2 linked regions of the Diceros bicornis minor genome follow. The protein of the gene in region 2 interacts with the protein of the main gene of each other region in a pairwise test. Links are inferred from orthologs where the notes say so. Each region holds a gene or a part of one and is shown on either strand. Other genes may lie near its edges.

Region 1 (6,730 bases), on a different chromosome or scaffold from region 2:
ACATGGCCTCTCTGAACCTCAGGCTCTTCCTATGTAAAATGTGATAACAGTATCTACTTCTGCGTAATCATGAGGATTAAATGACAACTCAAATAAAGTGGGTAGAACAGCACTCTTAACAAGCCCTCAATAAATGTTATGTTTGATGATGTACCTGCCCGGAACTTACCAGGTCCCTCCCATTGCTCCGGCGAGGTTTAGAAACTTTAGGCAACACTATCCCTTCCAAAATACTTTTATTAAAAAAAAAATCATTACAAACAATCCAAAAACAAACAACAAAAAAACCACCACGAAACCCGCCTTTCTTTTAAATAACGCGGCATGGAGCAGTTTGTTTCCACCCTATTGCACGTGGTCCGGCCTCGTTATAAATCAGGAGGCTGCTGGGACTGGGGTCCTGCCAAGGAGGTGGGGTTCAGCCTGGGGGGAGGCAGCCAGCCCCTCTGGCTCCCTCTAGGTGCAAGAGGCAGAGCCTGGGTTTCCATAGCAACCAGGCAGCACATCCCCGCCATCCTTGAACAGGCCCAGTTTGTCTTCCCTGAGGCCCCAGTGGTCACAAGGGGAGTAGGAACTGGAGGGAGAGGCAGAAGAAATGTGGAAGTGGGAAATCAGACTCCCAGAAACAGAGCCTCATTAAGGCATTTGGAACAGATAAATTAATTTAGGAGGACCCACCTTCACAGAAGGCTGCGGTTACCAGACACACACACACATGCAAGACGGTTTGTGGAACCCTGAAATGGGAGGAAAGGAGGCCAGACACTGCTTAGAGCCTCCACCAAAACACACACACACACACACACACACACACACACACACACACACACACACACAGTTGCATCCAGGGATCCAGCCCACTGAGGCTGAGATGACGAAGGAGCCCGCTCATCAGTTTTAGGAGCCCAGAATAATTTCCATGATGTGATCTAGTTCATTCCACTCCCAGGACCCGGGGGCACAGAAGAGGCTGTGAGGAGGCTCCGGTGCGGCCAGTGCTGGCTCCTTCTCCACTGTGGACGTGTCGATGTCCAGAAAGAAGTCATCCAGACCAGAGTCCCCCAGGTACTGGGAGCTTAGAGCTTCTAAGAAGACTGGATCCGGCTGGGGTAGCACTTCATTCTGGGGGCTCACGGGAGCCACTGGATTCTGAGGGGTCTCCGTCTCGTCCATGGAGGTCTCCAGCTCCCTGAGAATAGAGCCGATGGTGGCTGACAGGGAGAAGTCCTCCTCACCCAGGAAGAGGGGCTCAGGGGGCAGAGCTGGTGCCGGAGCCAGGCACAGCGCGGCCTGGAGCTGCTGGAGCGTGTTCTGGATGAGGACATGCCTGCGGAGGCTGGGTGCTCGGGGGCCCAGGCTTCTCTGGACCTTGTCTAGGGAGATGCGGAGCAGGGCTTGCTGGTAGCTCCGGAGGCCTGCCGGACCCCAGTCCCACTTCTCATCCTCCTCCAAATCTGAGCGTTTCCTCTTTAAGCCTCCTACCATGATGCCCTACAGAGAGAAGAGCAAGTCAGACATAGCAGGGCTAGTTCAAATCCAGAATCTCCTGTATGGGTGTTTTACCTCTTTGAGACTTAATTTCCTCATTTGCAAGATGAGAATCCTAAGTTAAATCCCTCTGAGTCTTAAAACTGTTCTTTCCACAATACTCATTTCTTCAAATGTGACCCACACAAGACAGGTGTGGAGTACAGAGACGTGGACCAGAAGTAGGGAATCCTGGGTTAGAATTCTACCTTTCAGGCTGCTCAGCCATGTGATCTTGGGAAGTGATGTGACATTACCTCCCTGGGCCTCAGTTTCCTCATCTATAAAATGGGGATTGCAAAAATTCTCACCACATCGCCAAGGAGATCCCACGTGTAACATGCACAGGGCCCACCATACAGGAAACACTTAATGAACAGGAATTAACTGCCATTTATTCAATATCTTTATTGGAGCGTCTACTATATTCGAGCCACTTAGAGCCCTCTTAGGGCACCTATTTGTCGAGACTCTTCTTTCGCAGGGAGGATGTTTCAGTTCATGCCCTCTTCCTGAGAGCGCTCCCAGCAGTAGGAAAGGGACCGCCCTCGTTCCCTCCGTCCGCGCCTTAAACTTCCCCAAAAGCGCACCCGCCAGGGACACTTGCAAGAACGCGACTCACACCAAGCTCCGCCCCCTCCCGACTCATCCAACCAGACCTCGGCCCTCTATAGGCCCCGCCCCTTCACGGGTCTTCATTCCGCATCCAGCCCCGCCTCAATTTGGCCCAGGGGTTTCTGGGAAATGTGGGCTAATAGCCGCCAGGTACGTGCACTGACGTGGAACGTGCACTACAATCCCCAGGAGGCTCGGCACGCCACAGGGACGAACCTCCCGCCCTCCCTCAGGGCATGCGCACAGGGGCCCGCGGTGGGTGGGGGAAGGGAACCCGGAGGTCCAGCTGCCGGGCGCCTGCCGAGCCCCGCCCTCCGCTGCCTCCAGGGCGGCGGGTCTGAGCTCCACGCCCGGAACACCCCTCCCCCACCCGAGTGCGGCTCTAAAACTGCTTTCTGCCAGTCCTTCGGACCCCAGAAGGTCCTGGATTCTACCCCCAAACTGCTCTGGGGTCCAGAGACCCAGGCCCCAACACATCGCTCAAGACTACAAATGCTCTCCGATTCTCTCCGTTCGGGAGACTAGGTATCTCAATTTTGAGATCTTCCCCTGTTACCTCTCCCTTATTCTCCCATCTTTCAAACGCCTCTGGACTTCACTTCCACCAACTCCCCCTCCAAGACCTGAACGTGAAACTCTTCCCGGCACTCCCGCTCCGCGACTGCGCCTGGGAGACCAAGATTCCTTGCCGCTAGTTCTCTCACTTCTCCAAATGCCCGGGACCCCAGCCCCAAGCCCTCAGACCTTTTCCAGAACACGAGAGCCCCGAATTCAATCAGTCCGGGAGACCTGAATTGTCCTATCTCCAGATTCCCTGCCCCAAAAAAGTTCCTTTCCTGGTTCTCTCGCTTCTCCAAACACCCCAGCTTCAAACTCCCTCTACTCGAGGACCCTGCTCCAACAACTTCGCCTCCCGTCCAAGATCTCGAACTCGGTCTCCGGTCCCCAAACCCTTGAAACCCTATCATCACCCTTAATCTGCGCCCCCCCACTCCCGCCCAGACCCCGCCTCCACAGCTCTCGGGGGCGCGCCTCCACTTCCCCCGACCTAAGGCAGATCTCAAGCCGGGCAGCCACCCCTCACCTCAGCTGCCGATGACCACCTCCTGCAATGTCCGTAGCTTCGCGACCCTCCAGGGCTGGGTAGGGGCCTCGTTCACCTCCGGGGCCTCTCTGTCTGGCCTCCGCTCCCCCAGCTCCGCCCCGGAGCCGAGCCGCGAGCCGCGATTGGCTGGAATCCTGCCCGCCGCGGGGCGCAGATTGGCTGGGCGGAGCCACCCGCCCGTCTCCAGGAGACGCCCGACCCGCCCTCCCCTTCCTTGCGCCCGGACCATTTAAAGGATTCCGACCGGCCAGGGGGCGGGGCCGCGTTCTAGGGTGGAAGGTGGCGGGGACCTCAAAACTATTTCCTTCAACTCAGCTACTGTCCTAGCTCCAAGATCGTCAGCATTGCTCTCTGTGATCCCTTTATACCAAGCCTGGACCCCATCGCGGAGGAAGACTGAGGGGCACGCGCGCCTCCTCACCCCGCTTTCAGGGAGGGCGGGGCCGAACCACTGGCGGAGGCCGCGCCCCTGGGGTTCCGAGGCGGCGCTGCGCATCGGGGGAGGATGACGCAGCTGACGGCCAGCCAATAGTTTGGCGCGGCCTACGTTGCCTGGGCGATGGCAGCCCCGCCCCTTCGCTGCCCCTGTCTTCCTGCTCCCCAACATTTTACCCCGCGGCGCCCTTCTTTTTTTTTTTATTTTAAACTTATTCTTAAATTATACAAATAATTATAAATATATCCTCCTTGTAAAAAATGAAAACATTATTGAGAGATTAGAAGTTTCCTCTGACCATCCTAGCCAATCCTGGGCCCCTCCCTACCCCCCTTTCCCCACGGGTAGCCCTCTTTGTTGGGTTTGAAGTCTTACTTCTAGACCTTTTTCTACGCATTTATGTGCATATATATGTACCAATAGAAAATATATCGTATTGCCATGGTTTGTTTATGTTCCTTATTTTAACTTCAGATCACTATTGGGATCAACACTATAGCTGGCCAGGTCTCCTAAAAATAAGACAACAAAAATCTGAACTCAAGTTCTAGAGCAGTTTCCCTGTGTCCCATGAAGGCGTTTTGAACCACTCTATTGCGCTTAGATCTAAGTTTTAAATAGAAATGTGCTTTAGAGGCGGTTGTTTAGAATGGTGAGGCTGGGGTTCCACCAGCTGAGAAGCATTGAGTCAGGGCTGACCTCATATTTCTGGTTTTCCAGCTCAGTCTCAGTGGATTCACAGCTAGGATGAACCTGCTCAATTGTAGGCTCAATTCCCAGCCACCAGGGAAACAATGGTGACTCTTGTGTCCCAAAGTGACCCTAGTGACCATCTTGTCCTGGCCTTCATCCATCACTGGAAAATCAAAAGCAACAGTCTTTAGCAAGGAGCTTCAGAACATCTCTCCAAGAATTGCTGACTCTTCCTTCTGCGGCGCCCTTCTTAATCATCAGGACTTCTCAGCCCGTCTTCTCGTGGTCCCTCCTGCATCGTCCTGACACCCTATCCTTCCTCTTTCAGGATGACACCTCCGCTGCTGGAAACTCATTCACGGCTCCCACTGCCCTGGGGACGAAGTCCAAACTCCTTATTTTTGCTGCAAAGCCCTTCACGGTCTGGCCTGATGCACACTCCTCCTTACTCCCTACTATCCTGCCACACCGATTCACTTTCAGTTTTTCTAAAATGGCTTCAAGTGCCCTCCACCACCATGACCGCGGAGATTTTCTGTTTTCTTCTCTGCCTTATCCCCAGGGCCTACAACAATGCCAGGTCCATAGCAAGTACTCAAAAATGAGAATAAAAGGCCTCTAGGTCTTTAAACTTGTTTCCTAGTCCTGAAAATATCCCCTCAATTCCTAGGCTGCCTCTCATCAGAACTCATCTCAAAGGTTGCCTCCTCCTAGAAGCCCTCCCTGCTCTAGGGTGGGTTAAGGACCCATTCTGGGCTCCCAGGGTGTCCTGTGCTTTCCTCATCGCGGCCCTGACCCCTCTGCCCGTGCCTCCCCCATCCTAGCCCTGGGCTGTCACTATCTGGACTGTGGGCACCCTGAGGACAAGTACCAAGGTTATCATAGCCACCCACTGCTTGGTCCACAGCATCACCTAACACAAGACTGGACATAAAGCAGGCGCTCAGTGAAAGTCTGTTCAATGTCCAGAGTGTGACAGAAAGAGAGAGGGCAGAAATGAAACAGCGCGTGTGCCCTGGAAGCCTAAACCAGTAGTGCCCCACCCCCATCAAGTTTTCACTAAGGGGAGGGGGAGGCGGTTTTCTCCAGGCTACCCCTGGGACTGGAGGTTTAAGGCTCCTCAGACCAGTTCTCACCGGTTGGAATTTGTCAACCAAGTCATCCTGCTGTTTGCAGAGCAGTGTAGGGTTGGGATGGATTTTGGGGAGGGGGAGGGGAGAAGGTGTTGGGGGGTAGGTGGGGGTGGCTGGATGTAGGGAGAGAGGAGTAGCTCACGGCAGGTCTGGGAAAAGTGTCTGTGGGGAACAGAGGCAGGGTGTGATTAGGAAGGGGCAATTCTGCCCTTTCCCCCTCCCAAGCCTGTCCCTCCTCTAGGGTCCCTTTCTCAGGGACCTTTCCCCCGTCCCCAGGTTACAGCCCTATGCTTCTTTCTGGATGCCTCCTTCCCCTCCCCTATGGACCATCAGGCTCCCACCCACTCTCCCTTCCCCTCCTCAAGGCCTCTGCCTTGGTCCCCAGGGCTCCCAGCCTCCACTCTTGCCCCTTCCCATCCACCTTCACACAGTGGCCAAAGAAAGCTTTCTAAAACACAAACCTGACTGTGCCACCTCCCCACCTCTCCCCTGCTCCATTCCTTGGGTAAAACCTCAGACTAAAGCTCAAACTTTTGACTCCACACAATTTAGCATCCATGGAACAGCCTCTTGGGTCTGACCACTCCTCACCTCCGAGAAAAGTCTTATTAACTGTAGGGGATGGATTTTAGTTCCTCAAAAGGGCCACATGCTTTCCAGCCTCCTGGCCTTGGCGCATGTGGTTCCTTCTGCCCAGAAAGCCATCATGCCTTAGAACCTTCTCCTGGCTCATTCTTACCCAACCTGGTTTCAGGTGGGCCATCCCCTCTTCCGCAGACCCTTGTCTAGCTCCTCAAGCTGGGTCAGGTGCCCCCTCGGGGCTCCCTCAGCCCTCGCTCAGAGCCCTGGCCATCAGAGTTGTCACTATCAGGGGCACGGCTGCCTTCCTCACTGGACTGTGACACCTGTGAAGGCAGGGTCACCACTGGGTCCTCACAGTGACCCCTGGGTCCCTAGCACAGGGCAGAGCACAGCACAGTGACTCAATAAACTGTGACTGAGGAAATAAATGAATACCCAGAAAATCCTACACAGAGCCACTAAGACATCCAGACAAAGCCAGAGAGGAAGAGTCCCAGGGTTGGATCTTCAGGAATAATTGGAAGCTCTTGGTTCAAGATTTATTGCTCCTTTCCTTTGTTCTCCATTTCCAAGGATGCTGTCTTCCTGGGTGGGCCGACGCCCTAATCATACTGGTGGGAGGGGTAGGTGCTGTGGCCG
Region 2 (7,058 bases):
CACTGTAAATTAAGCAAGAATAAATGCCCCTGTTTTGGATCCTATCTCAGCTTTCACGCCAAATTGTCAACTGCGGTGTTTTTAACAAGCGGAGATGCATTTCCTAATCTGTAACACAATCTCCTCAAGGTCGCTGTAGCGAAGTGAAATAACCACATTTTAAAATCTACCTCGCTGTCGTCAGTGATTATCGTCTGTCCCTGCACCAAAACTGATCTCTGTGCGACCCAGATGGGACTCGAACCCACAATCCCCAGCTCCGGAGGCTGATGCCTTATCCATTAGGCCACTGGGTCACCACGAGATCCGGGTTCTCACACCGTCTTCTTACGTGATGCCATCATCGCGCCCCGCCCTGCCCTGAGCTCCGCGGCCTCGCGTCGGGCGGTGTGTGATTTGGGAGCCGCCCCTAGCGGCGACGGCGCGCGCTTGCGCCCTCGGCTCGGACTGCAGGGCGAGCCCCCGCGCGCCTGCGCGGGGCCCTGTCCGCCCCGCTGCCCTGGGCTTGCGTGGCCGGCACGCGGACGGTTCTGGGCGGCCTCCTTCCGGGTGGGTTCTGTTCGCTGCGCGGACTGCACATTAGGCCCACTTGGGAACTTACCACAAAATTCCAATGCCTGTCCTCCCAACGTTCTATTTCTGTTTATCTGGCTGGGCCCGGGCGTCTGTATTTTACAAGTTCCCCAGGACCTTTCTCTGCCGCCGGCGTTAGGAACCACTCGCGGGGCGTGAGGGCCTCCGGCACCTGCCCCCTACACCCAACCCTCCCGTCCCTTACAGGGCCTTCCTTCCCTTTCTTTCTTGCATTTATTCAACGTACATTAATTTGATAATTATGTGCTGGGGACTGTTGCGGGATTCCAGGGTGAACAGGCTTTTCTTCAAATTTGCCCTTCTCCCCCATTCGTCTACATCCACTTTCCTCCCCCTCTCCTCTTCCCCTCCAGGTTAAAGGGAAAATGAATATAACAAGGTCCCTGAGTACAAAATAATACGGATTTTTGTTTGTTTGTGTTTATCCTAAAGCTGGGTTTTGGATAAAGATTTAGACTTTCTGGTTCCATACACAATATCTCTGTGCTTGTTGCATGTAAAGATGCTGCATTTGTGGCTTTTAAAAATATGCAATTTAGTTTTCTTGTTAGACATACAATACCTGTTCATTGTAAAATTGTATAAAGTATGGGAAAGCCAAACGAAGAACATTGAAATTGACCATAATTCTACCATTCGGAGTTAACCACTACCAACATTTTGATGTGTGTTTTTCAAATCTTAAGTGTCATTGTGTCATATGTCACTGTTTTATTACCTGTGGACCCTGACTCATCCAGGAAATGGTTTTCATGAAAGCTAGGACATTACTAGTGAATAATAATTCACTAATCATTCAGCACTGATGGTGCGGAAGTGATGGTGGGTAAAACTGACACCTTAGTGAATCAAGGCAGTGGCATCAAACTAGTAATGGTGTCTTCTTCACCTTTGCGCACTGGCTGTGGGGGGGGGGAGCCAGCTTCACTTAAGAATGTCCTTGATAATCATATAAGAATTATTAATTGTATTCAGTCTTGACTCGAGTACATATCTTTTTAATATTTTGTGTAACAAAATGGGAAGTGTGCATAAATCACTTCTACCACATACCAAAATACAGTGGTTGTCTCCTGAGAAAAACATTTGTGTGATGTTTGAGTTGCAGGCTAAACTAGCTGCTTTTTCAGTGGAACATCGTTTTTACTTGAAAGAATGACTGACAGACAAACTATGATTATTCAGATTTGGACACACTTGGGTTTGGTTCTCCAGAGCAGCTACAGTCTCAGGCGCCCATCATCACAGCACACAGTCCTGTGGAAGAGAGAGGCTATCTCACTCTCAAGGGCCTCAGTAAACTTTTTACTGTACTGTGTTAACATCTTCATCACCAAACCAATATGGCTGTGTCTCTGCCATAGAATGTACTGATTGGCCTAGGCCAGACAGGCCCTCTCCTGAATCTCTGTCCAGACTACAATAGCTAAGAGTAGAGGATGTATGGTTCCCCCTGGGCAACATTGTGTCTTTCAAAGGCAACTTTCACTTTTGACATTATACTTCCGTTTCAGGTTGTTTTCAGGTACAAGTACAGAATAGTGATTGAGAGCATGGATCCTGGACTAGACAGCCTGGGTCTGAATCCTGTCTCTGCCACTTATTCATTGTGTAAACCTGGACGAGTTACTTAACCACTCATGATTCAGTCTTCTCTTCTGTGAAATGGAACAGATAATAATACTACCTCGCACAGTTGTGAAGATTAAATGTATTAATATATGTAAAACAGAACACTTCTGGGCACATAGTACTCAATATTTTCAAGCAAAAGAAAACCCAATTTAACTAGCTTAAACAACAAAGAAAGTGTATCAGATGACATAATCACAAAGTTGTATAATTGCAACCTTCAGAGGTAGGGCATGCTGTCAATCAGAGCTTTCATGGTTTCTCCACCACTGTCCTATTCATACTTCCAGGAGTAACATCCCTCAGTTCAGAAGAACAGAGCCTGCTTTCCTACCTGCAATCACTAAACAAAAGGCATAGGCTTCCCAACTGGATGAATTTAGGTCACATGCCTGCCCCTGAACCATTCACAGTAGCCAAGAGAATGCCCTGCAATGACTGGCTTAGGGGTGAATTCCTTCCATGTTTTTGCACTTAGAGTGGATAGGATTCTGCTGATTGGGTAGGTGGGAATAGAATCAACCTCCTATGAACCACATGCTGCTACACAATGAGTGAGACTGGCATAAATGCCTGCAAGACGACTAAGTTCACTGTTTCAATTCATTTATAGCAAAAAATAAATCAACACAACTTTTTAAAAAATCCTTTTTCAGAATACAGAGAAACAGCAGAAAGAAAACAAAATGGCCCACAATCCTGATGCTCTGATAACCCTCATTGATGCTTAAAGAAAAGTACATGGCAAGAAAATGTAAACATTTTATTCAGAAATGTATAAAATACAGCATAGATCATTACTAGAACAATTGGCAAACCTTGAACATGAACTATATAATTAATAATAGCATCAAAGTTCAGTTGTCCTGAATTTGATGATGGTGGTGTGGTTATATAAAAGAATGCCCTTATTTTTAGAAGATACACGCTGATATATTTAGAGGTAAGGAGACATGATTTTTGAAACTTACTCTTAAATCGTTCAAAAAGTAATATGTAAAAGCCATATATATATATGTATGTGTGTATATGTATTTACATGGAGAGAGACAGAGAAATAAATGTGGCAAATGTTAACGTTTGGCAAATCTGGGTAAAGATTTGCAATTCTTCTGTACTGAAATTATTTAAAAATAAGTGTCTGGAAAAACAGGCATAATAAACCTTTTGTTACCATATTTGTGGCTTCTTTGCAGTCTTTTATGACACAAGTTTTAAAAAAAAAAGAGAGAAACTAAAAAATGCAAGACAAATCTGCCTTACTCCTCCCCTCCATAGTGGCCAGAAACCCCTGCCACGTTCCTTCTGTGTCCTATCAGGGAAAAAATGTATATCAATATTTTTCTATATGAAGATTTTTAAAAAGAAAGATTTTGGGAATCATCTGTGGTACGTGGTTAAGGCCACCCAGGAAAACGACCAGCGACCTTACTCGCATAAACCCTCAGCAGCGACCGGACCATCCAGCCAAGGCGGGGCTGGGAACCGGCCCTTCGCGTTGCATGCCGGGATCTGAAGTCTTTCCACTAAGAACTGCAAGGCGCTCTGGGATCGCCCGGCCGCTCCCCCATCTCGCGATGTTATCCTCCCTTCCTCTGGGCCCTATGATCACCACCCCTCCCCAACGTGTTTTTCAAATCCACCAATGGACGCACAGCGTCTGCTCGAACCAGCCAATCGGAATGCGGAGCCACCGGGAAATTTAAATCGCGCCGGCAGGCTGCACGAGCCACACCGTCTTCGGGTTGAGCCGTGGTGGACGTTTTGAGGGCATCCGATCTGCAGCCTGTGCGTCCCGCGCCGATTGCTGTGGAAGCCTGACCCGGCTGTGAAGGTACGAACTCAGGCCGCAGCCTGGCCCGAGCGGTAACGGCTGGCCCCAGGCCGCGCTTGGCTTTCGGGTGGCGAGAGGGGAGGCCCGGGTACACGCCCGGCCTGCCTTCGGCCTCCCTCGTTGGCGAGGCCTCGGGGGCGCCGTTGGTTGACTAGGCGGCTGTTCCGCGATGCGAGTGCGTGGGTTGTAGGGCGCCGAGGCTCTGCGGACCGCAGCGGGAGCCCTTGCGGCCCGGAGAATCTCCGTTAGGCCCGAGGGCCAAAGTCCGGGAGTGGGCCCGGCGCCTCCGGCCCCTCCTCCGCCGGTTCCCCGCCGCGTCTCCCCGGGGTGAGGGGCAGGGGACGGGACCGGAGGTGGAGGCGGCAGTTGGAAGGACTCGCTCCTTAACACGTAGGCGCTGGGTTGGCTGTGGCACAATTTCGTAAAAGAACATAGTGGAATTAAAGATAACAGATCGTAGGGAGGACTTTTACTTTCGTCACCTTTCAGAGATTGCTTTTAAGGTATCTGAGTCTGAATGAAGCACCATTAATATCAGCCCGATTAAGTGCATTCACTCGCGATTCCTAGAAATGAAAATGGGTGCGGGATGCTGGGGATGCAGAACTGCGTCGCAAGTTTTCAGTGTTGACAGGAAATGTGATGGAAGACTCCATAATGTAATGATGAACCAAATTTTTCTTTAGTTTTCAAGTGAGAAATTTCAGGGAGAATGTAGCTATTTTGGCCATTTAAAGACAATAGAGAGCCTCCAGAGAATCTGAATTTATTGCCCCTAGGACATAGATTTTAACAGTAAGGTCAGTTCCCCTGCTTTGTCTTCAGTTGGCTCTTTATGGACTCCGTATAGAGTCTAGAGCCGCACTGTCCAGTGTGATAGTCACTAAATGTATGTGGCTCATCCGAAGTGAGATATGCTGTAAGCTTCAAGTGCAGGCAAGATTTTGAAGAACTAGTATGAAAAAAATAAAATATCTCAATTTTTTAATGTTGTAACGTGGTGAAATGAGAATATATTGGAAGTGTTGGGTTAAATAAAATATATTATTAAAATTAATTTCACGTAATTCTTTTTGCTTTTTAAAAAATGTGGCTACTAGGAAATTTAAATTTATGCACGCTTGCAACATATTTCTGATGGACAGCACTGCTCCGGGAAGTCTCAGCCCCTTCAGAGGGGAGGGGACAGATATCATTTGGCCAAGACTATTTCATAGTGCTCAGAAAGGAAGTTTGTCCTCTAACAGAGAAGTGTAGATTCAATATATGCTTGGTAATTGTGTTGATGCTCTTCTTATTGACAAAGCAAAATGATAAAAGGGAAATTTTTTCTCTCCCCCATCTTAGAGCTTTCTCCCTTTGTCTCATAACCATGTCCACGAATGAGAATGCTAATTCACCAGCTGCCCGCCTTAACAGATTCAAGAACAAGGGTAAAGACAGTACAGTGAGTACTTTCTGTTGATTTCCTATGGTATTTTTTAAATGGGAAGATATTTGAGAAGAGGTCAGAACTTTGAGGGAATTTGAAAAAATGCCCTCACTTGGCAAGAAAAACTAATCTAATAGGTGAAATGATGTGTTATCTTTTTGCAAGGAAATGAGGCGGCGCCGAATAGAAGTTAATGTGGAGCTGAGGAAAGCTAAGAAGGATGACCAGATGCTGAAAAGGAGAAATGTAAGCTCATTTCCCGATGATGCTACATCTCCACTACAGGAAAACCGCAACAACCAGGTAAATATATTTTAGCTTCTGAATTATGGTAAACCCAGAAAATCAATATGGGGCTTTTCTTAGAAATTTAACATTCCTGGCTTTATGGTTTTAACTCTCAAATCTGAAGATCATTTTTTCTGCTCCCAATCAGTAATTCTGATGGGTTGTCTTCTTTCCTGCTCACCCTCCATAATCTTTTGAAGCTGATTCCAAGGTTGTCCTGAGTTCCAATCTCCTCCCTTCGAGTTTTCCAGCATTTCCAGCTGCCAGCTCGGTACCTTAACCTGGCCATTCCAGTGCTAACTGAAATTAGTGTATCCAGAACCAACCACTTTCTGGCTTATTTCTACCTTTTTTGATATTCTCTATTTTTTGTACTTGTCACTAGCTTTGTTCAGGGCTTTTTCTTTCTGAAATATTTTCAGTAGTCTCCTAATTTATCTTTCCCTTCATTCTATGCCACATACTATTTACTTAAAAATTTTCCTAAAATTCTGCTTTAGACATGTTCTTTCTTTGCTTAAAACTTTGATGGTTTTAAATCCATATTATTTGAAGGTTTTTTTAAATTAGACCCATCGTAGATTTTTAAATATCTCTCGTTTTTAAAAGATATTGGGCACTTTCCTACCTTTTATCTCTGTCGCCCCCCCCCCCCCCCCGAATACTACCTACGTGCTATTTCTAGGGTATTATTCTCAAATCCATCTTTTCCTTATAGCACTCCCTGGTCAGCTTAGCAGGAAAAATGCCCCCTCTCAGAATTCCTCTAGCACTCTGGTTCTGCACCAACAATGGAGAGTAAATGCTTATATAACATATATATACACATACATATATATATATACACTATTTGTTGTACGGTTGTTGATGTCACATTTTCCTTGTTAAGTTGTAAACTTCTAGGGAAAAAGGGACACTGTCTTTTTGAGTTGTCTACTTGAGTTATAGTATTGGTTCTCAAACTTTTCTACTGGGATTACAACATATAACATTTATATTTGCAGCACTATACCATGGAAATGCATAGATTATAAGGTTAGATGTGAAAATCCCCAGCACATTGCCTATAACTCCATCCCTTTTTCCCCTAAAAGCTTATGCAAGTGATTGAGACTAATGTAGAAATAACCTTCAAACTGCTCTAATTCACTTTTTTGTTTTTTCCTCCTAATTCACTTTTTTAAATTGTTCACAGCCACCTTTTTTAGTGACAAAATTCTGGAGTACGCCATGACTTGAGACTCCAGTGAGTCATGATACCACGTTTGAGAACTGTTC

What was found. The genes of interacting proteins can lie anywhere in the genome.
Region 1: the proteins of KPNA2 (region 2) and SERTAD3 interact in binary tests that used the Homo sapiens proteins (3 or more experiments, as listed by UniProt). The two-hybrid records come from large-scale screens. The link is inferred for Diceros bicornis minor from reciprocal best matches to the Homo sapiens genes KPNA2 and SERTAD3.

The regions. Positions count from the first base shown.
Region 1 is NC_080773.1:14,009,049-14,015,778, forward strand, and holds SERTAD3 (SERTA domain-containing protein 3), read right to left. Parts: upstream 2,112-6,730; 5' UTR 1,486-2,111; coding exon 898-1,485; 3' UTR 581-897; downstream 1-580. Other genes in the region: BLVRB (flavin reductase (NADPH)), read right to left, coding at 6,694-6,730.
Region 2 is NC_080757.1:47,461,192-47,468,249, reverse strand, and holds the start of KPNA2 (importin subunit alpha-1), read left to right. Parts: upstream 1-3,953; 5' UTR 3,954-4,060; intron 4,061-5,407; 5' UTR 5,408-5,432; coding exon 5,433-5,507; intron 5,508-5,657; coding exon 5,658-5,795; intron 5,796-7,058.